Callithrix jacchus: one gene and its partners. The protein of the gene in region 1 binds, or shares a complex with, the protein of each later gene. Links are inferred from orthologs where the notes say so. Each region holds a gene or a part of one and is shown in the gene's direction. Other genes may lie near its edges.

Region 1 (3,500 bases):
CAGAGCCAAATTATGTCATTCAGTCAAATAAATATTATAGTCTATGGCTACACCCTGACAACGTGTCAGAGTAGGTTGCTCCTGGACTTCACAGGGTGGAAGCATTTGGAAATACACTACAGCAATTCTTGTCTCTCAGAATTAGGAACTAGTTTTTAGAGGCCATTTTTCATTAGCTCAGACTTGTATGTAGCATTAAAAATATTCAAATATTTTATTTAATGTTGTTCATTCCCTGTAACGTTATTTCAATAATGTGGATGATTTAGGGAATCTTTTATTTCTTATTTAAAAAAAATTGATTTTCACTAGTGAAGAATAATTTCTATTAAATTATAACGACATTTTTATGATATATAGACATTGATTCTCAAGAAATTGGTTGAGAACAATTTCCTTCCTTAAATAACTGGAGTCGGAAAATTTAAAATTAGAAGAATACTTACAGAAAATAAATGTAAACTTTATAATAAAAGATGCTATCAAAATTGTTTCTATCCATGCAAAATGCTTTAATACCTTTATCATTTGTTTTATAATTATTAAAATATCTATCTATCTATCTATAAGGAGCATTTCTGTTTGTAAGTCTAATTAAATTAAATTAAAATGTGTTAATAAGCTTCTTAATACTTTAAATTATAATGCTCTTAAACATTTGTAGTTTTAATCTATTTTAACATGCTGGGCAGGATGGCTGACACGTGTAATCCTGACCAACATGGTGAAACCCCATCTTTATTAAAATACAAATATTAGCTGGGTGTGGTGTGTGCACCTGTAATTCAGCTACTTGGGAGGCTGAGGAGGGAGGATCACTTGAACCTGGGAGGTCTAGCTGCAGTGAGCGGAGATTGTGCCACTGCACTCTCGCCCTGGTGACAGAGTGAGACCCTGTCTTTAAACAAACCATTAATCAAATCTTTAAAATAAAATCCCCAAAACCATTAATCAAATCTTTAAAATAAAATTATTGAATTAATATGTAGTTTTAAAATAAATTCTCTGTTGAGAGCCATCTACGTTTATATCATAAATATTCATGAATTATATTTCTTTTTTTTCTATTGCAGTTTATGCTATATAGCATATTTCATTTTGGCACAATGATGGAGAAAAAGTGTACTCAGTATTTTCTGGTTCTCTTGCCTTTTTTTGTGGTAAGCATAACAATATATGATTATTTCTGTTTTTGCTTCCAATACACCTGTAATTGATAAAGAAAATTAAGGAAGTTACTAGATACATAAATTAATCACATTTTTGTATCTGATTGATACAGCAATAATGAGTTTTCATTCAGTGTATGCTTTTAGTCCTATAACAGGTATAGAATGAGAGGAAGTAGAGGGAATCAGAATGGGAAAGATCAATAGACACAAATGCATAAGACACCAGAGGACTATGCATAGTTTGTATCAGAGATACAAACGGAATGACACTATAGTACAGGTTTTACATAGTAGCGAAAATAGTTTCAACCAGACTTGTTGATTCACAGTTAGATCTGTTTAAAAAAAAGTGATTCTCCCATTGATAGTTATCCCGTTCTGCCAGCTGATTGACATATCTTGATTGCAAGGCAATTTAGAACCATGCAGTGTGTTTTAAATTAATTTCCTCAATCCTTCATTTAAATAAGCAGACAATTGATGTTAAATTTGTGGCAGGTGCGTGCATAAGTGTGCATACTCATCTGCCCCTCTACATGTATACACTGGGGATATGGGGCCCAAGGTGGAAGGCAGACAAAGAAGACAAAAACTCAGCTGCTCTGCTTGAGAATCATATACTTCATACACTTAATTTTATTTTTATCATAGTAATGAATTACCCATATTTTTCTCTGCCTCAAATAGTGACTGTGCTCTTATCTCATTACAAACACGAGAAACCAAGAGACATACTCTCATTTAGTCCTGTGACAGCAAAGAATTTGCTTGAGGTGTTTCTAGCAAATACCACAAAGATGGAAACAAAGAAACCCAGAGAATACAGAAAACCTAAATGAGAAAAAGAAAACAAGCAAACCCAAGACTACATTCCTGTCAGCATTTGTATTTGAAAACATTTTCAAGTCTAGGAGCAGTCCAAATTCTGCACTTCTTAGATAGTATCTTTAAGTTGACTTCAGCTCACACCCTCCACTGAGCAAGCTGCACAGAACATTACTTTCCTGCAGGCAATTCTGTAATAGATTACCAACTGATTATTGTAATTTAAGATATTATGACTCTTCCTCTTGAATTCGTGTAAGATAGTATATAAATCAGAGTCTGTATTCCAAGTAGGGATAAAAATGATATTGATTTATACAGAAGGATAAAAATGATATGGATTTATGCAATTCTATAGACTTTTTGAGAAGATCAGCAGTTATGTGGTTTTCAAATATATTACTTTTCTTTATGTCACACATTTCCTTTATTACTTGTGCAACACTACCACTGCATAAATTTTTATTTGGAAATAAATAAAGGAATGAAAGAGTTAATGATGAATGGTGGTCACACAATGGTAAAACTTGACTGATGCTACAACAGTGAGGGAATGTCATTTTCACTTTACTAAATTCAACTTCCTGCTAGAAAACAGAAATACGGCAATGAGGGAACAAAGGAAGGATATGAAGATAACAGCTTATGGAATATAGTTAATATAAATTATGCAAAAATTACTACTAGAAATCGGTTAAAAAGAGGTTTATTCAGGCTTCCTATTATAAATCAGAAAAAATGTCATGTGGAAATTAAAGTAGAATTGAAGCTTAAAATAGTGCTACTATATTGAAAGAAAATAAATACATAACTTGTCCAAAAACTTTATTGATGTGCATAGAAGAAAAATTTCTATTTGCCAACATCACAAAAATTTCTATTTGCCAATATTTTTATTATCAAAATATTATAACAATGACCATAAATTGTGAGTAGTTCCATGTGCCAGATATATCTCCTCTGTCATCTTGATGTTATTTTATACTATTTTACAATAAGGAAGAAGAGGGGAGGGGACAGACAATATCTTGCCTTCATTCACAGAGCCAGGAAAAACACTGGGGTCAGATTGGAAGACATCTCTGTCTACATTCCAGAACATGTATTAAGGACTATCCTGGAGCTGGCTACCACAGGCTTCTGAGAACCAACTGTGCTTTCCCACTCTGCCAATGGTGACATCTTGTTAGTGTTTTGAAAGTGGACACGGAGGGGATATTTATACCATGAAAATAGCAAACATTACAAATGGGAGATTTTCCCCAGAGAACAAGTTCATCTTCCAGTACATCACTGCACTGGCTGTTTTCCACTGTGACAGACTGCCTTTGACAAAGACATTTTTATAATCCTTTTCATGAAGTTGATACTGTTTTTTTAATCCCTCAGATTCTTGTCACAGCAGAATTAGAAGAGAGTCCTGAGGACTCAGTGCAGTTGGGAGTTACTAGAAATAAAATCATGACAGCTCAATATGAATGTTACCAAAAAATTATGCAAGAT
Region 2 (3,500 bases), on another chromosome or scaffold:
GTAGAAGGGCTTTTTGAGATGAAAACGAGATATATCAAGATAATTATTCAATAATTATCTTCCTGTTACAGAGGTAATAGTTGTAAAATATTGCTACTCTCTTAAGATATTTTGAAGCTCCTCTCCTTAACAGAATCTGCCTCAAAACTTCGATTTCTAATATCCAATTTGGCAATACCTCAAAAAGTTCAACCTAGAATTACTGTGTGATTCAGCAATTCTACTGTTACATATATGCCCAACAAAACTGAACACGGGTTTTCTAACAAACACGTGTACGTGGATGTTTGTAGCAGCACCATTTACAACAGCCAAAATGTAGAAACAGCCAAAATGTGCATGAGTGAGTGAGTGGATCAACCATGTGGTGTCTCTTAAATGCCCCTGGAGTTTTACCAGCCGTTAAATGGACCTCACTACAGTCAGAGGCTACACTAGGGATAAGTCCCATAAATATTATGATATGTGAAAGAAGCCAAACAGAAGTGGCTATGTTTTGTGATACCTAGAATAGTAAAATGCGTTGAGACGGAGTGAACTAGTGGCCAGCAGGGGTATTAGGGGAGAGAGGGGAGAAGGTGAGGGACAGGGACTGATTGGGATGATGAAGATATTTTGGAACTAGATGCTGGCAATGGTTGCAGGTCCATCCTAGCACTTTGGGAGGCCAAGGTGGGTGGATCACTGGAGGTCAGGAGTTCAAGACCATCCTGGCCAACATAGTGAAACCCCGTGTCTACTAAAATACAAAAATTAGTTGTAATTTTTTGTATTTTAGTAGACACAGGGTTTTACCATGTTGGGACAGATGTTATTCTGTGGTGGCACGCTCCTGTTATCCTGGCTACTCAGGAGGCTGAGGCAGGAGAATCACTTGAACCCTGGAGGCAGAGGTTGCACTGAGCCAAGACCACACTACTGCACTCCAGCTTGGGCGACAGTGAGACTCTGTCAAAAATAATAATAATAAAAGTAAAAATAAAATCCAAAGAATTAGACAGAAATGTGAAAGAAAAACTATATTCATACTTCTAATGAAGATGTTTAAATTTTTCAATTGTTCAGTTGCTTTAGGGGATGCATTTTAATTGAGGTTAAATTGTAAGTTAAAGAAAAAAAAATTAGGCTACATAGATTTACCTGAATTTCAATTCTCAGAACACTTTGGACTGTCCATTTTTAAAAACCCACTATTGTGATACACTTACTCCATTTGCCAACCTAAACTCATTAACATCAGTGTCTGAATGCAGGATGGTCTTGGCAGGTGTGTGTACACCTTATGCTACGAGTGATGGTCGTGCAGAAGCAGGTGTCTCAGAAAAGTAGTGAGATCTCAAAGGACTGAGAGACCTAGGAGGAGCTGGTCCTGGATGGACAGGGAGAGGAGGAAGGAGGCAGGAAAGGAACAGCGAGTGCTTCAAGGCTGGCAGTGTTCCTGTGCTTGGAGGGGAGGCCGAACATGTTCCTGATTACTGGCAGACTGAGACTTGGTGAGAAGTGCAGAAGGAGTTCAGTGCAGAATGGCACAATGGGAGCCACTGGAGAACTGTGGGGAGGGCTGGGAAGAGGCAGGCACAGTGGGCGAGCCAACAGCCATGACCGAGAAGGAAGAGGAGGAGAGTCGTTTAATCACAGATGTTAATGCACAGAAACGTTTTTATTTTCAAGATCACAAACAACATCGACCCAGTGGGAAGAATCCAAATGCGCACGAGGAGGACACTACGGGGGCACCTGGCCAAGATCTATGCCATGCACTGGGGCACAGACTCCAGGTAGGTGTGGGCGTGAGCAGGACGCTGCTTGACATGTTCCAGGCAGCTCTGTTTTCCTAAGGGAAAACAACCCGAAACCGTTTGCTGTGTTTTACAGCGAAAAAATGAGGAACTTGAATCAGAACCCTGGGCACGCCACGTGCAACATTCACAGATGCCTACTCCCTGTCCTGTTTTCCATTTACCTGCACTGAAAGGACGCTGCCATTTCTTCACTGTCTGAGTCACATCAATACAAGTTCTGGTTTTTCTTTCTCCCTTCTCACAACTCTTTCAGTTTCTTGAACTCTGTCCTCCTGGTTCTACTGCATCCTACTTATGGGAACTTGAGAAAGTGACCTCTCTGTGCCTGTTTCTCAGGGTTGGTCGGCCCTCACTCTTCTGTGATTTCAGTGCCCAGGCTCCGGAAATCACAGAACCTGACCTGAGAATCCTGAGGGATGAAGCATTTTGAGCCTTAGAATCAGCATCATGTTGTATGTGGTTTGCTGTTGGCTTTCAGCAGCAGACACTCGGGAATGCGCTGTGACCTGCTCTCACTCTTCTCTCACCTGGCCTGTCTGCCCTGCCTTCTTCCTTTTGTTTACCATCCCAAAAGATAATTCCCTTCATGGGCTCCAATTTTTTCTTGTCTTGTCTTGTCTTTTTTTTTTTTTTTTTTTGAGACAGGGGTCTCACTCTGTCAGTCATGCTGGAGTGCAGTGGTGTGATCATGTCTCACTGTAGCCTCTACCTCCTAGCCTCCAGCAACACTTCCTACTCAGCCTCCCAAGTGGCTGAGACCACAGGCATGTGTCACCACACCCTTCTAATATACATATATTTTTTTGTGGAGACAGGATCCCTCTTTGTTGCTGAGGCCAGTCTCAAACTCCCGGCCCCCAAGTGATCCTTCCATCTCAGCCTCCCAAAGTGCTGAGATTACAGGTTTGAGCCACCACCAGTTCTAGCCTGTTTTTTATACTTTAAATTATACCCCATGCTTTTCCACCAGGCGCCTCACCTCTGTCATCGCACACTCTGTGTGTTCCTCTCATTTAGAGGCTATTGCAAAGTCTTATTTGCTGCCTGTTCTAGCCAAATAATTTAGTAAAGTACCATTTGATTTGTGTAACCATGACATGCTGTTCCAAGCACCTGACGTAGCGGTTTTTAACATTCCCTTGGTTGAGTAGTATTTCTTTGTATTCAGTTGTTAGCCTGGAATTTTCTGCTTGGCTTTTTTTTGTTTGTGAAATTGTCTGCTTTAGAGCACAAACAGCTAGAGAACAAAAGATTCTATCTTTAGTTTGTTCTATATTGTATCCCATACAATTCCATATGCAAATGAGTGCTTTTCCAATGCGAGAGGAGTCAGAATAAAAGTGGGAGGGGGGAGATGATGTCTGAGGGTACAGAGTTTGAGTTCGGAATAAATTCTAGAAATCTGTCACCCAGCATGGAGACTGCAGTTAATAATAACATGTATTTCAGAATTGTTAGTAAAGTCGATTTTAAATGTTCCTACCACACACACACACACACACACACACACACACACACACACGGTTAGTGATGGGTATGTTGATTAGATTGATTCTTTCATTTCACAGTGTGGATATATATTAAAACACCATATTGTACTCCGTAAATTATTGTTTGTCAAAAATCCTTTTAAATATTCAAAATAAATAAGTAACCAGGTACGTTGGCTCATGCATCCCAGCACTTTGGGAGGCTGAA
Region 3 (3,500 bases), on another chromosome or scaffold:
CTTTTCTTTTTTTTTTTTTTTTTTGAGATGGAGTTTCACTGTGTTACCCAGGCTGGAGTAAAATGGTGTAATCTCAGCTCATTGCAGCCTCCACCTCCTGGGTTCAAGTGATTATCTTGCCACAGCCTCCCGAGTAGCTAGAACTACAGTTGTATACCACCGTGCCCAACTAATTTTTGTATTTTTAGTAGACATGGGGTTTTCCATGTTGGGGTGGTCTTGAACTCTGGATCTCAGGTGATCTGCCCGTCTTGGCCTCTCAAAGTACTGGGATTACAGGTGTAAGCCACCACGCCCAGCCTTATTTTTGATTTCTAATTTTATTCCATTGTGGTCAGAGGACATTATACGATCCTTTAAAATCTATTAAGGCTTTAACAAAGTCTCATGTCTTTTTTGATTTCTTTTTCTTTTTTAAAAAATTATTTTATTTATTATTATTCTTTTCTGAGATCAAGTCTTGCTGTGTCACCCAGGCTGTAGTGCAATGGGATGATCATAGCTCATTGTAGCCTCAAACTCCTGGGCTTGAGCAATCCTTCCACCTCAGCCTCCCAAAGTGATGGGATTACAGGTGTGGGATGCCAGGCCTGCATCCATTGTTTTTGACCACACCTTTAGGCATGGACTTCTTCTCTGTTCCAAATATAGTCAGTTCCTTCTGCAAGAGCTGCGGCTGGACTGTACTGGACTGTATCTTGGCTCACGTAACCTCCCCCTCCTGAGTTCAAGCGATTCTCATGTCTCAGCCTCCTTGGCAGACACAGAGGAAGGAGCTCTGCTTCTTGCAGCAGGTGGTCTGGGCCATGCCCCTTACCAGGTGAATGCCTCCTTCCTGCCCGCAGTGGACACCTGCAGCCCGGGCTGACCCACACCACGTGGCTTCTTCTTACCCATGCTCACTCCTTGCAGCCTTACCCTACTCACTCTTGCCACCCTCCTGTCTCTCAGTAGCTCCATTGTGGTCTTGGGGCCACTCACAGGGTGGTCTGCACAGTCACTTCCTCAGCCGTGGTCCAGGCCTCCTGCTGCAGTGGGTGGGCTGAGCATGCCAGTTCTCTTAACCCTTATCCGCTTCTTCATGGGATCTCCTATAGCCCGGCTTCGGCTGCCAGAACACAGATGACAAGGCTGCGTACACATGTGCACATGTATACACACACACACACACACACACACACACACTAAGACATAGATGGCAAGGCTGTGTACCTATACACACACGCATACACACCAAGACACAGGTAGCGGGGCTGTGCGTGCGCCTATGCACTCACACACATGCACACATACACACACCCAGGACGCATATGCCTGGGCTCTCTCTTGAGTATCTGATGAGTTCATGAGTGCCAAAGCAGAGGTCAGCTGAGGGGAGGTTAGGGGCAGGGAGGTCCTGTGATGTGGAAATGAGATGACCGTGGAGACAGGCCCTGAAGGACAGCGGGCACTGCTCCGTGGGACGGAGGATGTTCCCCATGGGGAAATGTGTGGAGCCAAGGCGTGAGGTGGAAGGGGATGGGATATTTCAGTGGGCAGAGGTTGGAAGGACAGTGGGGAAATCCTGGGACAAGCAGCTTGTGTCAGACCCTGAGAAGGTCCACCATTCCCAATGCTGGGAAAGTGAGTCTCTGCAGTGGCCTTAGCCCCCGGTTTCCCAGAATTGGAGGGGGCTTTGAGAGGGCCTGGTGGTCCTTACTGGCCCAGAGCCCTGTTCTGCCACCCCTGCAGGCATTGGGATGGTCCCCGGGTCTTAGAGTCCTCAGGATGCTCCCAGACCCCAGGAATCCTAAACTGGAGCTGGAGCCTCTTTTCCAGTCCTAATCTGCCCGGGACCCTCTCACTACTCCCCCAAGGAGTCTGGCCCAGGGTATCACTGCCGACTCCCTCCCTGTGTCACTGCCTGTGAGGCAGTGAAGTGAAAAGGTGGACTTGTCCTGTCTTGGGGACAGGTCCCTATGCGGGAACCTCCTTTCTGCACTGACAGGTAGGTCAGGGAGGAGGGTGGAGGATTCTGCTGAAAAGGTCTCAGGCTTGCAAACAGAGCCTTATTAGTAAGTCCTCAAGTTACGGCCCCTCAGGCCTCCCGTGTCCTGGCATCCCCAGTGTGAACCACAGTGGAATTCTCATGGCTGTCCCCTTTCCAGGTGGGTGTCCCAGAGCAGGCGGCTGCAACGAGACAGGCATGTTGGAGAGGCTGCCCCTGTGTGGGAAGGCTTTCGCAGACATGATGGGCAAGGTGGACGTCTGGAAGTGGTGCAACCTCTCCGAGTTCATCGTGTGAGTGCCACTGCTGGGCCTGGGATCTGCTTTGCCCACGGCGCTGCCCACTGCCTGACCACCACCCGAACATGGTGTGACCGCACTCGACCCAAGCCCTCACCCATGCCCCACCAATACCCCACCATAGACTGCAGCCCTTCCATGCGCTGCCCCATACTTTGCCCAAGGCTTCTCCATTATCACCCAACACTCTGTCCCTGTTTCCGGCCACCCCACCCACATCCTGCTAGCACATCACTCACAGCCCCGCCCAGGCCTTGCCCCCACCGTGGCATTTGTGCCCCCTCACCCACAGCACCTTCCCAGCTTCCTATCCCTCATTCTGCATCCTCATTCTAACGTTCTAGCAGTTCAGCGCTGCCTCTGCTTCTCCCTCTCTGTTATTTGGGAATCCTCCCCATGTCCGCTTTTCCTCCTGAACCATATTAGTGCCCTGCCCCGGGAGTGTCCAGTTCTGGGGTTCCCTGGCTTGGGGGTGCCCTGCCTTCGGGGTGCTCTGCCTGGAGGGTGCCCTGCCCTGGGACTGTCCAGTTTGGGGGTTCTCTGATCTGGGGGTGTCCTGCCTGGGGGATGCCTTGCCTGGAGGGTGTCCTGCCTCTCCTTAAAGCTGGAGCTGGGTGGACATTGTCATGTGTGTCTTTCTCACAGCACCAGTCACAGCTGGGTCTGTCCTCAGTGGTCAGAGGACTTGGAGGAATTGGGTCCCTCTGACTTATACAAGGTGCAGTTGCGGACAACACCACATAGTGGAGGGAGGGCCCCTTGTTCTAGAAACTTCCCAAGTTTTTATCTCCTTACCTCCTTGGAAATGGCTCTCGGCCTCACCGCCCTCTGGCTTTGCAGTCTTGTGCCCCCTGCTGGTGGCTGCTGGCAGACCCAAGCTGCGCTGGCCTGTTAGCCGGCACATGCATGCTAGCACCCCAGCCCCTGCCCTCTGAAGAGACACTGACCCTGGCCGTGTCCTGGAAACCCTCCCTGGCCCTGGCCATTCTGGTGGCCCAGCAGAAGCTGGCTCCTTGAGACTGCCACATCTGCAGCCCCACCACGTGGGGGAACTGCTTGCTGAACCAAGTGGAATGGAATTCTGAGTCTGCTGGGAAGGGGTGCTGGGATTCAGGAAGGGATTGTCAGGCTCCCCCTGGTCTCAGTGGGCCTGGACACAGGCCTGAAGTGGACCCACGGGTGGGGAAGACGTCAGGGAGGAGGAGGTCATAGCT
Region 4 (3,646 bases), on another chromosome or scaffold:
CCATGATGGATAATTTGTGATGGACAGGAATCAGAAACTGGGACAACAGCAGCAGCTGAGTCCAGGGGTCAGTGTCTGGGAGTAATTTAGGAAAGTTTGGTGCTGACAGCTGTGTCTGGGACTTGAACGTCATGGCCAAACCAGCTCCTGGGCTCCTCAGCTGCTTCAGGCTAATGAACCTCTGGCCCAGGACACAAGCCGCAGCTGTGGTGTGGCTGAAGTCAGGGCCCCTGGAGGCCCAGGCTCGGCCTTGCTGCTTCCTTAGTAGTGTCAGTTAGACAAGTGGCTTAGGAAAAGAGGAAAGGAAACTAACATTCAGTGAGCGCACTGCCCTTTCTCAGCTGCCATCCTCACTGGTGAGGAGCGGAATGTTCCTATTTTATGTAAGCCCTGAAGGTAAACGCGTCATGCAAGCTCTATGACTGGGAAGGAGGAAGACAGAATTAGAACCCAGAGCTTCTGAATTCAAATCCCGGGCTGCTGGCCCCGAACTTTAGCGTTTCTGTAAAATGGTGACAGTAATACACTCACCCCGCACATGAAGTCCCACATTGAAGGTTCTAAACCCTTTCCTCCTTTCTCCCAACCTTGGTCCTGAAGAGCTGCGGCACCTCCTTCCCAGGAATGTAGTCATCGTATTTTGCCTCCCAACAGGTTTGTGGGGTCTGGGCCCCAGGAGGTGTCTTGAAGGGAGGGTATCAGGACTTCTGTTTTCCCTCTACCCCACTCCCCAGATCTTCTCCCGACTCTGGAGGGCCGACTCCCGCTTCTCCCTGGTTGTGACTGGCGGGCTGACAACAGCGGGTGTTCCCAGGGATAGATAAGGAACCCTAAGCTGGCCGGCCCAGCTCCAGGAGCCCCTTCCCCCACAGCCCAGGGCAGCCCCTTAGGTGCAGCGGCGTCGAGAGGCCGCTGGAGCTCCCAGCCCCTCCCTCTTCTCCGGGTCTGAGAGAGCAGCTCGCCGACCCCTCCAGCCCGGAAAGAGAGGGGGCGACTCGAGTCCGGGAGCGGCTCCTTGGAGACCCCGGAGAGTCCTGCGCGCCGCGCGGCCGAGCCCCAGAAATAGATCCCGGTTCCGGGGTTCCGGGAGCTGTCCAGCCCCGCGGGGTGAACTGCGAGAGAGTGTGGGCCAACGCCGGCAAGGCGGAGGGAGCCGCGGGCGCCCGGCGCGGGTGCGGCGGCTACTCCCCCTCCAGCAGCGGGCCCCGGGCGTCGCCCCCGCCCCCCACGTGGCCGCCGCCGTCCCAGCCCCTCCGAGGAAGCGGCGCGGCTTCCTGCGGCTCGGGCCGGGGATATAGGCGCCCCCACACCCGGGCCAGGCTCAGCGCCGCCGCAGCTCCCTCGCCTCCTTGCTGCACGATGGCCTCGCTCCGAGCGGAGCGCGCCGGCGACCCCCGGCTCCCGACGACCCGCGCTGGGCGGCCGGCAGCGCTCCGCCTCCTCCTCCTACTGGGCGGTGAGCGCGGCGCCGCGAGGCCCGGGCGGGAAGCGTAGGAGGCCCCGGAGGGGAGATGGGAGAGGGGCTGGATGGGCGAGGCGGGAATGGGCCCCGGGGTTTGGGCGCGGACCGACGGACAGAGCAGCACTGGCCTTCGGACGGTCCCTGACCTCACCTCGGGGCGGGCATAGCTCAAGCTGCTTCCCACCGGGGAAAGCTGGAGTGCGGGCCCCGGCTCCGCGGAGAGGGCAAGGGAGGCTGGGAGCTGGCCAGAGGGGAGGGGGCTTTGGGCCTGGGTGTGAGTGACAAGGAGCTGGTGCCAGGCCCTCCCTCCCCAGCTGGGATGTCCATGGGGTCTAGATTATTCCTCTTTTTCTTCCATGGTAGCCCTGCTTTCAGAGGGTCTCAGTCCCCCGCCCCCCCCGCAGACCCCACTTCTGGGGTCCCCGCTATGCCACCCTCCTCTCCTGCTTCTCCCCACAGCTGTCCTGAAGCCCCAGGAGACCCTGGCTCAGCCTCTTCCCACCACAGGCACACCGGGGTCAGAAGGTGGGTACCCAGGATGTGGAAGGGTAGCCGAGGGCAAGGACGAGAGCAAATTCAGTGGGGAGAGTCCCTTTCCCACGAGGCCCGCACAAGGCCCGCACAAGGCCCGCACAACCCCAACTGATGGCCCACTAAACTCCCCTCTGTTCTTTCTTGGGGTTCCTTGTGGTCTTTCTCCCTGTCTTCCCACAAAGTCCCTGCACAGCTCTGAACTGGCCCACCTCACAGGTGGGTGAGAAGACCCCAGGAAAAGGTGTACGTGGAACTTCTTATCAGGCTGGGATGGAAAGTGCTTAGCACAGGGAAGTCGTTACAGGATTCCTGAGCTGGGACTCTCCTCAGCCAGAACTTCTTGCTAGGGAAACTTTCTGAAGGGTTCGCACCCCCCCCCCCCCCCCCGTTTGAAGGCAGGCACCTGGGCAGGAGGGTTTGGAAGGAGGGGCAGGGCTGTGGTCATTGTGCAGCATCTGTACCTACAGTGAAGATGATGGAGAACTATGAGGCAGCTGTCCAACTTTGCTGGAATTATTACAAGTATCAAATGGATCCTATCGAAAAGGATTGGTGCGACTGGGCTGTGATTAGCAGGTAGGGGCGGTGCTGGAGGGTGGCTCAGGCCCGGGGTTGGGCCTGCTTATTGCAGGTAGACCTTGAGTGAGTGTGGGGCACTTCTCTCCCTGGGTCCACCCCCTCACTCACTCAAGTCCTCTCCTGCCTCTAGGCCTTATAGCACCCTGCGAGATTGCTTGGAGCACTCTGCGGAGGAGTTTAACCTGGGCTTCCCCAATCCCTTGGCAGAGAGGATCATCTTTGAGACTCACCAGATCCACTTTGCCAACTGCTCCCTGGTGCAGCCAACTTTCTCAGACCCCCCAGAGGATGTACTCCTGGCCATGATCATAGCCCCCATCTGCCTCATCCCCTTCCTCATCACTCTTGTAGTATGGAGGAGTAAAGACAGTGAGGCCCAGGTTTAGGGGGCCACAAGCTTCTCAACAACCATCTGACTCTGCTTCCCTACCCCCACAGGGCCTCCCTCCTCCCCTTCTCCCTTCTGTCACTCTCGCTCCCACCACAGATCCCTGGATTGCTGGAAGTGGAGGCCGGGTGGGGTCATGGCACAAGTTCTGTAATCTTCAAAATAAAACCTTTTTTTGTACAATGTCCTTCTCCTCATTTCAGTGGGACCTGTGTCGTTCCCTGCCACTCCCACAGGCTCTCAGCTCTGGGTAGCAGAAGCGGAAAAATCTGGATGGCCCAGATTCAGAAAAATTTGAATTCTGTTAATTTCACCTGCCCCCCTGCTCTCAACCTCCATGAAGGTCACACCCCTATATTCTTTCCTTCCAGGGGGGCCTTTCCTGCCCTTATCCAAACTCAGTTCCAGGAAACAAGCAGGAAGAGACTCCCTTCCGGTCTGGACAGCAGCTGGGGGCCTGCGACTGGGGAGGTGTGGGGGAAGGGGCAAGGGAGGAATCTCTGCTTGTGACTCTGCAAGAGGGACAGGAGGCTGCCCAAGGGGCCCTGACTGTTCCCTTCTTCATGCCTCAGTTTACTCCCAGGGCCTGGGAAGAGGAACCCTGGCTGAGCAACAGGAATCCATTCCTAAGGACCTCACAATTAAGGGCAAAAGCAGTAGGGGCTTCCTCTACTAGGTTCACC
Region 5 (3,979 bases), about 120 Mb from region 1:
GCGCAGTGGGGGAGAAGGCATGCTGGCCCCGAGGGCCCTCCTAGCCTGTGTTAGAAGAGCTGGTGGATGGCCTCCCTGTCAGCTGTCTCCCCTTCTCTGAGCTTACAGCAGATGGCAGCAGCCGCTCAGCCACTGACTGCTGAGGAACTGTTGGTCACTCAGCAGTGCCGTGTGACTGCAACTTCCACAAGAGAGACAGCTGTGGCCACAACGCTAGGGTGGTGATCCGTCCCCCTCCAGAGGCGGTGCATTCTTTAGCATGAGTATAAATTTACTATTGCTAAGAGTTCTCAGAACAGGTTATTGCAAGAAGGAACCCACTGCAAGGTGAAATCCAGCCACTAGTAATGCCCTTAGAGCCCAGGTCAGGCCTGTGCCTTCCAGAACTTACCCCTCCCCAGGCTTTCCCAGACCATCTCCAGAGCGCCCTCCTCTCACCGCTTTAGATAAAGGAATGCACCCAAGATCCCCCATCAGTTCTCCATGCAGCTGCCAGAGTGACGGTCCCCAAAGCAAACCTCGTCTCTAAGGACTCTCTGCCCAGACCCTCACAAACCTCCTGCCAGGCGCTCGCTACCCATCAACAGCGAGACCCCCAGGCCATCTCAATCTCCCCAAAGAGCCCCGTTCCCTCCAGCCCCCGGCCTCTTCCCACCCACTCATCCTGCAGATCTGGAGCAGCATTCCAGGGCCTGGGAGTGTGCGCCATCTTGGGTTATTAGGGGTCTTCCCCAGGCGCCTGGCGGGGAAGCGGGGGGGAGGTGACGCCAACGCTCCCCAGCGCCTGCACCTGGGAGGAGAGGTAAACGCGGTGGGGAGATCTCAGCCTGTTTGCAAAGCAAACCCCAGGCAGGAGAACCTCGGAGGAGGAGGAGGGGAAGATGCCCAGGTGGAGACCAAGGTGCCGCTCCCTCGGAGTCGCCTAGGAGACCCTCCCTAGTTTAAAAAGTGAGAACATTTCAGAAGGCCTCACTCGAAGTCCAAGTGTGCCGTCCCCCCCGGAGACGCCCGCGCGACTCCCCTGCAAAGTTTTCCCGGCCTCGCGCGCCCCCGGCCCTGGCACCCACCTGGGGAGCCACAGTGGGCCGGGCCACGCGGCCGCCGCCTCCCACCCCTCCCGCGCCCGCGCCCGCCCCCGCCCCCGGCACGTCTCCTCCGGGCGGGCGCCGCGGCGGGCTCAGTCCTCGGCGGGGCGCGTGGTGGGTGGACTGGGCTCCGCTGTGCACCATGGCCCGGGCCCTGTGCCGCCTCCCGCGGCGCTGCCTCTGGCTGCTCCTGGGTGAGTAGGGTCGGGGATCCGGGTCGAACTCTCTTCCCCCGGCCCGCCGGCGTCCTCTAGGGGAGGGGAGGAGAGGGAGGGCGCAGCGGTCCGCTGCCGTTGAACCTGGGCAGCCCGGGTTCCAGGCGGGAGGCCCCAGGGCACCGGGAATCAGAGGGTGCGGACCGGAGTTGCGCCTCTTGCCGCGGAAGGGACGGCTTTGGGGAAGTCGGAGAGCCGGCGTTCTGAAAGGCGTGGGGCGTCAGCTGCGCGCACCGGAGAACTTGTTTCCGGGAGAGAAACAGGACGCGGGGTTCCCCAGCCCCGCACCTCGGTTTCCCAGGCTGTGCGCCGCGGTGACCGCCAGCGCAGGCTCCCCTCCCTAGGCAGTCCCGCGTGGCAAAACCTGCAGGCAGGCGCCTCGCAGAGGACTCGGTGTGCGGGAGTCGGAGCCACTGACCGTTCGTCTGGAGATGAGTCAACACTGATCTCTCGCAGACAGAGCAGTCGCTTGTTTGCTAATGATGCCTTTTGCAGAAATAAGGCCCTCCCTTCTCGAGGCATTTCCATCGCTTTTTTTTTTTTCTTTTTTCTTTTGGTTTGCTTGTTAACTTGGCACTTCCGGCTAATAGAAATTTAGAGGACGGGACCCTTGGTGAAGTGGTGGAACGCGCTCGGCTTTCCACCTGCGGGAAGAGTGGAGATTATCAACTACCCGGTGGCCACAGGAACTGGCCACACACTCAGCAAGGCACGGCCCCGCTCACTGCCCCCATCTGCAGTGCGCTCCCAACATGCTGACTCAAGCCCCTTCTACACTGGTTGTTGCGTTCCGTGTATTTAGCTACCTTTCAACGGAAACCGAATAATAGATTACTGGCGTGGGAGAAAACCCAGTGCCCCTGGGAAGGCCAGAGCAGTTGTTTCTAGTATATGTGGCCTTTTCCCAGAAACAGTGATGTTGGTCAGAGGCACCTGCCGCACAAGTCCCCTTGGCCTGTCACTGGCACTGGGCAAGCAGTGACCGCCAGCGCTGTTTCTGTAGCTGGGGGAGCAGTTCGTGGCCCGGCGAGGAGAGGGGCCCGAGCTTCTTGGGAGCCATGGATTTCTGGTCCCTGTTTGTAAACCTCTCCAAGGAGTGGCAGATCGGCATGGAATCCTCCGAGGCCAACATAATATTATCTGAAAGCGAATCTTGCCACTCGAGTGTTTTGGCTGAAGTTAAGTGGAAAGCCACATCTCAGCGGAATCTTCCCTCCTCTTGTGTTCGGATCCATTTGGCTTGACGTGACCTTCACTGTTTTCGTTTCCTAAGAGACAAACATTTCTTTGTTAGCAAGGCAGAGAGCTGGGCTGTGGAATATTTTTCACATAAATAACCAAATAAATAAATGTTCTTTACTAGTGTCCAGAGACTGCACCCTCTAAGGCTTGTGTAAATAAAACGCTATGTCACGATCACATATACAGACCTTCCTTGTTTACCAAGAAAACTATTCATGTTCTGCTGGAAGTCCAAAGTCCTGTAATTTTAACATCATTTTGAGTGGCCTGGCTAATGTTATATCTTGGAAGGTTATGAGGTTATCGGTAAATTAATGTCATTTGGAGACCAGCTGTAATTCGTGGAATTACTGAGCACAGGCTGTTTCCTTCACAGGCTCTAGCACTAGCCAGATCTCCTTGGTGATGAAGATTCTGCTACCCAGAATGGCAACGTGGAATTTTTTTTTTTTTAAGAACGCTAGTGTGCAGGTTTAAGAACTTATCTGTGACAATTTTACAATCAAGCTATTTGTCTTAGGTAGTTATTGAGATTCTCCCAGCCATGGGAGAATCTCAGTTCACAGTTCACCCAGCCATGATGGCTCACACCTGTAATCCCAGCACTTCGTGAGGCTGAGGTGGGTGGATCACCTGAGGTCAGGAGTTCAAGACCAGCCTGGCCTACATGGCAAAACCTGACTCTACTAAAAATACAAAAAAATTAGCCAGGCATGGGGTGGTGGGCACCTGTAATACCAACTACTCAAGAGGCTGAGGCAGAATTGCTTGAACTTGGGAGGGCAGAGGTGGCAGTGAGCTGAGGTCATGCCGCTGCACTGCAGCCTGGGTGAGAAGAGTGAAAACTCCGTCTCAAAAAAACAAAAAAACAAACCTTAGGATCCATATGTAGTTCTTTTCCCTCCGAGCATCCTATGCACTGTTCTGTTTGCTGGAGACTAACGTAACCACATGCATTTTGAAAGGTTTGTGTAGAGACACCAAAAAGCTGTTTGCTAATCAGGAAGGAAGAATGCATGGCAGCCCTGGTTTCGAGTCCAGCTGCACTCAGGGAGTGCCGGCTGGTGCTGTCACACAGGAACTCAGTCATCTGTCCTGGGAAACGCTTGCCTGCCTTGGCTGTCATGTGGAAGGTGCGTTTTTGTTTTTTTTTTTAATGGCTGCGACATTAATTGAAATATATGACTCTATAAATAGAAGTAGAATTGGAAATGACGGGACACCGTAGGAAGTGCTGTGTGACTGCTTCAGATCGCCACGTGGTTTTAAATCCGGACGCAGTTCTCATGCCGGAGTCCAAATCTGAAGCATTCTCATTTGCTAATCAGTGTGTTTGTTTACCCTCTCTGTGTGTTCAGCTGCAGGAAGAAATGTCTGGATTTGTGTCTTCCTTTCACAGACGCCTTGCCAGTCCGAGGCCAGGGCTATTGAGAAATG
Region 6 (4,215 bases), on another chromosome or scaffold:
CTACCAGCATAAACATGTGCTCAACTTTAACCAGAATTTCTACTTCTAGGAAGGTGTCCTATAGACACATCTGTGGGCTCAAGGCAGCAATTCATGGAAAGACTGAAAATCAACTAAACTCGCATTAATAGCAGATGAAGTGAATCACAGAACACCTGCATGTTGGAGGAGAAGGTCCAACCATAGGAAAGCATGGGGTCTCCGATGTGAGGGCCACAGGGCTGTGACACCTGTCACCCACTGGTCACCAGGGTTGATTCGGCTGATGAGGCTGGGGGGGCTGGGGGGTGGGGTGGGGGGGGTGGCGAGTGTCCCATTCCTTCCCCACGTTCCCTGTGCATCCCCCCCGAAGTTGCATGCTCCGTTGAAGTCGAAGAGGATGGAGGATTGGGCTTTGAGTAGCTTCACTCCTCCACCAGGTCATCCGAAACAGCTCTTGGGAAAGAATGGGGCAGGTCTGCGCACACGGATATGTGTGACTCGGGCCGCGCCTTGGTATGCCCAGGTTAGGTCAGGTGAGGGCTCCCACCCAGACAGGGGTAGGGGTCTCGAGTGGGTGGCAATGTTGAGGGGAGTCTCACGTTTCACTTGCTTAAATTTATTTCTTTCTTTCTTTTTTGAGATGCAGCTTCGCTCTTGTTGCAGGCTCGAGTGGAATGTCCCGATCTCAGCTCACCTCCACCTCCACCGGCCTCCCACATAGCTGGGATTACAGGCTTGTGCCACCAAGCCTGGCTAATTTTGTATTTTTCGTAGAGACAGGGTTTCTCCATGTTGGTCAGGCTGGTCTCCAACTCCTGACTTCAGCTGATCCACCCGCCTCGGCCTTCCAAAGTGCTGAGATTACAGGCGTGAGCCACGACAGCCGGACACTTGTTTAAATTTCTTACAAAAATCGTGCTATACTTTGGTCCATGGTTGGAGCGGCGGGGGGAGGGGGTAGGTAGAGCCTTTTAGGAGCACAGCCCGGGGTTGGGGGTACCGCGACAGAGAGTGGAATGGACAGCCCGTTGTGGAACCGCACAGACTCGCTGGTCGGGCCGTGGGTCCACCGGTTCAGACCCTGGAGAGTGGGACCGCCCGGACTCGGGAAGTGGCCCCAGTCCGCCCCAGCCCTGGGATCAGCTCGGATGACTGCTCGTCCCCCAGAACTCCGCTTCAGTCTGGGAAAGTCCGGCCCCCGCGGGCTCGGGGCTGCGTCCCCACGGGAAGGCGCGGGAGTGAGGCTGGTGCCCCGCCATCCCGGGCGGTCTCCGAGCGCTCCCAACGGGATCAGGACCCTCCACCGCCCCTTCGCTGCGCCCGCGGAGGAGGACCACGCGGCTGCAGCCCCCCTCCCCGCCCCGGAAGGTGGCAGGGCTTGCGGGGGGCGGGGGGGGCCCGCCCAGTCCGCGCGTCCGGCTCCGCCCCTCGCTGGAAAGGCTACGTATTCAGCTCTCGAGGTGCCATCCCGGGCAGTCACTCCGCTCCAGGTCGGACCCCCAACCTGCCCAGCCCGCTCCGCCTGCGACCCAACCCGCGGCCGCCCCCAGACACTTTGCCAGAGTCGCGCCAGAGGCCTGCGCCCCGACGGACGCCCGTGCCCAGCTACCACGCCCACGCCCGGCGACCCCCGACCGCGGAGGGCTCCCCGAGGTGCTGGCGGAGGGGGTGGCTCGCCGCTCAGGCTGCCCCAACCTATCTGGCTCACTGCCACCTCCCTTGCAGCCCTGCCCGCCATGGCCCGGATCCCGACAGCAGCCCTGGGTTGCATCAGCCTTCTGTGCCTGCAGCTCCCGAGCGTGCTGTCCCGCAGCCTGGGCGGGGACCGGCGTCCAGTCAAACCCAGGTGAGTGCGGGTCTTGGGCCAGCCCACCCCTCTGGCCCCCCCTCCGGGAAGCAGAGTGCAGGGGGCATGGGTGCCGCCCTCCCTCCACCCCCACCTACTACTAGGGCTCACCTCCCACGCGAAGGCTCCCCCTCCCCCCCACCCAGGCCTTCCGCAGCGCCTCAGCAGGGCCAGAGGCCCTTCTTTCTCTGCCTCTCTACACAGGGCAGTTGCTTCTACACACACACACACACACACACACACACACACACACAGCAGCCCCTCACCTGGAGCTGTGTGCTGGGGGAGGGGAGGCTGGCGATATCCCCAGGCTGTCACCACCCTAAAGGGAGAGCAGAAGCCAAGTCACCCTGAGCCCTGAGAGTCGTGACCGGCAGAGGCTGGGCCTCGGGGTGGCCTTTGCCCAAGGAGGTGCTGGCTCCCGGCACATGTGACCCAGGCCACTGAGATGGTCCGGGGGACCGGGCTTCCCCTGGCAGTGCTCCAGGGTGTGTGTGGGTGGGTGAGGGCCATGGGCTTCCCCTGGCAGTGACCCAGAGCTGCGTAGAGGCAAACGTGGGTAGGTTTGGGGTCTCTGAAAGTCTGAGTCATTGGGTTAACATTCTCCATCTGCCTCTGCAGGGAGCTCCCAGCCCGGACTTCCAGCAGCCTGCAGCCTAGTCACCCTGCACCCCGACCTGTGATCCGGAATCTTCACCAAGCCCTCCAGCCACAAAGGGGTGCTGGCCTGGTCCTTGCTATGGGTCAGCCTCTCCGGGATGGTGGTCACCAACACTCGGGCCCCCGAAGACACTTAGGCGCCCAAAGACCCCGAGCCCAGCTCCTTCGGGTGGGCTGTGTACTGGGTACCTGCCAGGTGCAGAATCTCAGCCACCGCCTGTGGCAGCTCATGGGACCGGCTGGCCGGCAGGACTCAGCTCCTGTGGACCCCAGAAGCCCCCACAGTTATGGCTGAGGTGGGGCTGGGCCACACGCCTGCCCATCCCAGCTTGGGTGCTATGCCCCCGTCCAGAACTGCAGCTGGGCCCCATCCCCAGCTCTGTCCTTCAGAGCTGCAGACAGCAGGGCCTGTAGCAAGAATACCTGCACAGTTTTGCACACATAAACCCTTGCACACGTGTAGACCAAGGCTGGTCTACATGCAGTGCTGGCACGTCAAAGAGCCTGAACACCCTGAAACTGTGAACACTCGGGGGACGGCTGCCAGACACAGTTGGTGGCAGCACCAGAGAGCAGAAGCCAGGCCCTGAACACACAGGGCCACCTCTGGGCCAGGAGGGGAGAGAGGCTAAATTAGCTGGAGTCGCCCCTCCACTGCTGGTCCAGTCAGACTGAAGCCCGGCCTTGTGCCCTTCCACATGCCTGCCTGGCCCAGGGTCCCAGCCTCTTCCTCCCCAAGTCTTTGAGACAGGAGGGGGAGTGCGGGGGCAGGGATGCTGTGGCCCCTGGGATTGGGTGAGGGGATGGTGGCCTTCCAGAGGTCATGAAGGGACCTCTGTGGCTCCAGCTGCCAACTCGAGCCCAGACTGAGGTGGCCATGGAGACCCCACCTGGATCCCCTGTGGGAGGCCAGGGAGGGGACCTTAGAAGTTCAGGAGCCACCCCAAGCCATTCTGGGACAGGGACACCCCTTCCTACACCAGGACAGGGCAGGGCTGGGTAGGGCAAGATCCCCCAGCCCAAATAGACCCACCCCACCTCAAGAGGGGTGAGACCCTTGTTGGCAGCCAGACAAGGGTGGGGATCTACAGGCAATACAGGCCCCCCACCACCACCCGGTGTGGGGAACCTGTGGGACCAGGTGTGGGGGCAGCAGTCGACTTGCCAAGAGCCAGGGAGGGCAGCCCCACCCCAACTGACAGCAAGAACAAGAACCACCGCCGGTCTGCCCAGGGGGGATGGGGAACTTAACACTGTGTGCCACTCAGGCTTCCCATTCATCCGGCAGAACACAGAGTTCAGAAAGAGTTCCTTCTGCTACTAGGCAAATGCTCAGCACTTGATTTGCAAATGTTTGCTAGGGTCACCATGATCACCCCAAATCTAGAGGCCACGGCACAGGGCTCAGGACATTCCCCCACAGGGCCACCCCTCAACTCTTGCCTCACAATGGGAGGGTCCTGGCCGCGCCTACCACGATCACCAGGTCCAGGTAACTGACCTGTGCTCCAAGAGGCCCTGTGGGCACAGTCCAGGCTTGTCCTGCCCTGTGGAGGCCTCCATGCCCTGGGAGATGGACTAGGATTGCAGCAGAGGTGGTCCGGGTGGTGGGCCACACAGCAAGGCCGTTAAGGCCAGCTCCCTGGGAGCAGTACTGGCTCAAGTGGGGTCTGAAGATGGCTTCTCTCGGGGAAGGGGTGCCCTGGGAGTGCCAAGGCCCAAGGTGC

Evidence for each region.
Region 2: the proteins of CALCRL (region 1) and GNB1 are in contact, whole or in part, in a cryo-EM structure (PDB 6UVA), measured with the Homo sapiens proteins. The link is inferred for Callithrix jacchus from reciprocal best matches to the Homo sapiens genes CALCRL and GNB1. Residues at the interface, in NP_001258680.1 of Homo sapiens: Lys167, Ser168, Ile394, Arg397, Asn398, Gln401; in NP_001269468.1 of Homo sapiens: Arg52, Phe292, Ala309, His311, Asp312.
Region 3: the proteins of CALCRL (region 1) and RAMP3 are in contact, whole or in part, in a cryo-EM structure (PDB 6UVA), measured with the Homo sapiens proteins. The link is inferred for Callithrix jacchus from reciprocal best matches to the Homo sapiens genes CALCRL and RAMP3. Residues at the interface, in NP_001258680.1 of Homo sapiens: Arg38, Asn39, Met42, Thr43, Gln45, Tyr46, Glu47, Tyr49, Gln50, Met53, Trp69, Asp70, Ser117, Arg119, Thr120, Phe228, Leu231, Ile235, His238, Thr239, Val243, Val245, Lys249, Gln250, His251, Trp254, Tyr255, Phe257, Leu258, Phe262; in NP_005847.1 of Homo sapiens: Trp56, Cys57, Leu59, Phe62, Ile63, Tyr66, Glu67, Thr70, Cys82, Tyr83, Pro85, Asn86, Pro87, Leu88, Gln90, Ile93, Thr94, His97, Arg98, Cys104, Thr105, Val106, Asp107, Arg108, His110, Leu111, Glu112, Asp113, Pro114, Val118.
Region 4: the proteins of CALCRL (region 1) and RAMP2 are in contact, whole or in part, in a crystal structure (PDB 3AQF), measured with the Homo sapiens proteins. The link is inferred for Callithrix jacchus from reciprocal best matches to the Homo sapiens genes CALCRL and RAMP2. Residues at the interface, in NP_001258680.1 of Homo sapiens: Arg38, Asn39, Ile41, Met42, Thr43, Gln45, Tyr46, Glu47, Tyr49, Gln50, Lys51, Ile52, Met53, Gln54, Trp69, Asp70, Gly71, Arg119; in NP_005845.2 of Homo sapiens: Trp86, Ile89, Tyr93, Ser94, Arg97, Leu109, Gly110, Pro112, Glu117, Ile120, Phe121, His124, Gln125, Phe128, Ala129, Cys131, Ser132, Leu133, Val134.
Region 5: the proteins of CALCRL (region 1) and RAMP1 are in contact, whole or in part, in a cryo-EM structure (PDB 6E3Y), measured with the Homo sapiens proteins. The link is inferred for Callithrix jacchus from reciprocal best matches to the Homo sapiens genes CALCRL and RAMP1. Residues at the interface, in NP_001258680.1 of Homo sapiens: Asn39, Met42, Thr43, Gln45, Tyr46, Glu47, Tyr49, Gln50, Lys51, Ile52, Met53, Gln54, Thr68, Trp69, Asp70, Gly71, Arg113, Arg119, Thr120, Phe228, Leu231, Ile235, Thr239, Val243, Ala244, Gln250, Trp254, Tyr255, Leu258, Phe262; in NP_005846.1 of Homo sapiens: Trp59, Ile63, Tyr66, Arg67, Ala70, Phe83, Trp84, Pro85, Asp90, Phe93, Leu94, His97, Gly98, Phe101, Arg102, Cys104, Pro105, Ile106, Ser107, Gly108, Arg109, Ala110, Val111, Arg112, Asp113, Pro114, Ile118, Leu119, Phe122, Ile123.
Region 6: the proteins of CALCRL (region 1) and ADM2 are in contact, whole or in part, in a cryo-EM structure (PDB 6UVA), measured with the Homo sapiens proteins. The link is inferred for Callithrix jacchus from reciprocal best matches to the Homo sapiens genes CALCRL and ADM2. Residues at the interface, in NP_001258680.1 of Homo sapiens: Val36, Thr37, Lys40, Asp70, Gly71, Trp72, Asp90, Tyr91, Phe92, Gln93, Asp94, Phe95, Asp96, Pro97, Ser98, His114, Ala116, Ser117, Thr120, Trp121, Thr122, Tyr124, Thr125, Asn128, Thr131, Lys134, Val135, Ala138, Leu139, Leu141; in NP_001240774.1 of Homo sapiens: Leu106, Arg107, Val108, Gly109, Cys110, Val111, Leu112, Gly113, Thr114, Cys115, Gln116, Val117, Gln118, Asn119, Leu120, Ser121, His122, Arg123, Leu124, Trp125, Gln126, Leu127, Met128, Gly129, Pro130, Ala131, Gly132, Arg133, Gln134, Asp135.

Annotation. Positions count from the first base shown.
Region 1 is NC_133507.1:41,496,496-41,499,995, forward strand, and holds part of CALCRL (calcitonin gene-related peptide type 1 receptor), read left to right. Parts: intron 1-1,073; 5' UTR 1,074-1,076; coding exon 1,077-1,160; intron 1,161-3,386; coding exon 3,387-3,500. UniProt on the Homo sapiens protein: G protein-coupled receptor which specificity is determined by its interaction with receptor-activity-modifying proteins (RAMPs). Together with RAMP1, form the receptor complex for calcitonin-gene-related peptides CALCA/CGRP1 and CALCB/CGRP2.
Region 2 is NC_133508.1:39,883,069-39,886,568, reverse strand, and holds part of GNB1 (guanine nucleotide-binding protein G(I)/G(S)/G(T) subunit beta-1), read left to right. Parts: intron 1-1,671; coding exon 1,672-1,778; intron 1,779-3,500. UniProt on the Homo sapiens protein: Guanine nucleotide-binding proteins (G proteins) are involved as a modulator or transducer in various transmembrane signaling systems.
Region 3 is NC_133512.1:13,234,519-13,238,018, forward strand, and holds part of RAMP3 (receptor activity-modifying protein 3), read left to right. Parts: intron 1-2,147; coding exon 2,148-2,280; intron 2,281-3,500. UniProt on the Homo sapiens protein: Accessory protein that interacts with and modulates the function of G-protein coupled receptors including calcitonin gene-related peptide type 1 receptor (CALCRL), calcitonin receptor (CALCR) and G-protein coupled estrogen receptor 1 (GPER1).
Region 4 is NC_133506.1:121,132,029-121,135,674, reverse strand, and holds RAMP2 (receptor activity-modifying protein 2), read left to right. Parts: upstream 1-1,323; 5' UTR 1,324-1,359; coding exon 1,360-1,456; intron 1,457-1,921; coding exon 1,922-1,987; intron 1,988-2,463; coding exon 2,464-2,572; intron 2,573-2,705; coding exon 2,706-2,961; 3' UTR 2,962-3,146; downstream 3,147-3,646. UniProt on the Homo sapiens protein: Accessory protein that interacts with and modulates the function of G-protein coupled receptors including calcitonin gene-related peptide type 1 receptor (CALCRL) and calcitonin receptor (CALCR). Required for the transport of CALCRL to the plasma membrane.
Region 5 is NC_133507.1:159,155,066-159,159,044, forward strand, and holds the start of RAMP1 (receptor activity-modifying protein 1), read left to right. Parts: upstream 1-1,179; 5' UTR 1,180-1,227; coding exon 1,228-1,279; intron 1,280-3,979. UniProt on the Homo sapiens protein: Accessory protein that interacts with and modulates the function of G-protein coupled receptors including calcitonin gene-related peptide type 1 receptor (CALCRL) and calcitonin receptor (CALCR). Required for the transport of CALCRL to the plasma membrane.
Region 6 is NC_133502.1:219,044,239-219,048,453, forward strand, and holds the start of ADM2 (protein ADM2), read left to right. Parts: upstream 1-1,415; 5' UTR 1,416-1,635; intron 1,636-1,707; 5' UTR 1,708-1,718; coding exon 1,719-1,828; intron 1,829-2,449; coding exon 2,450-2,783; 3' UTR 2,784-4,215. Other genes in the region: uncharacterized protein LOC118147770, read left to right, coding at 50-64. UniProt on the Homo sapiens protein: Intermedin/ADM2 is a peptide hormone that plays a role as physiological regulator of gastrointestinal and cardiovascular bioactivities mediated by the CALCRL-RAMPs receptor complexes.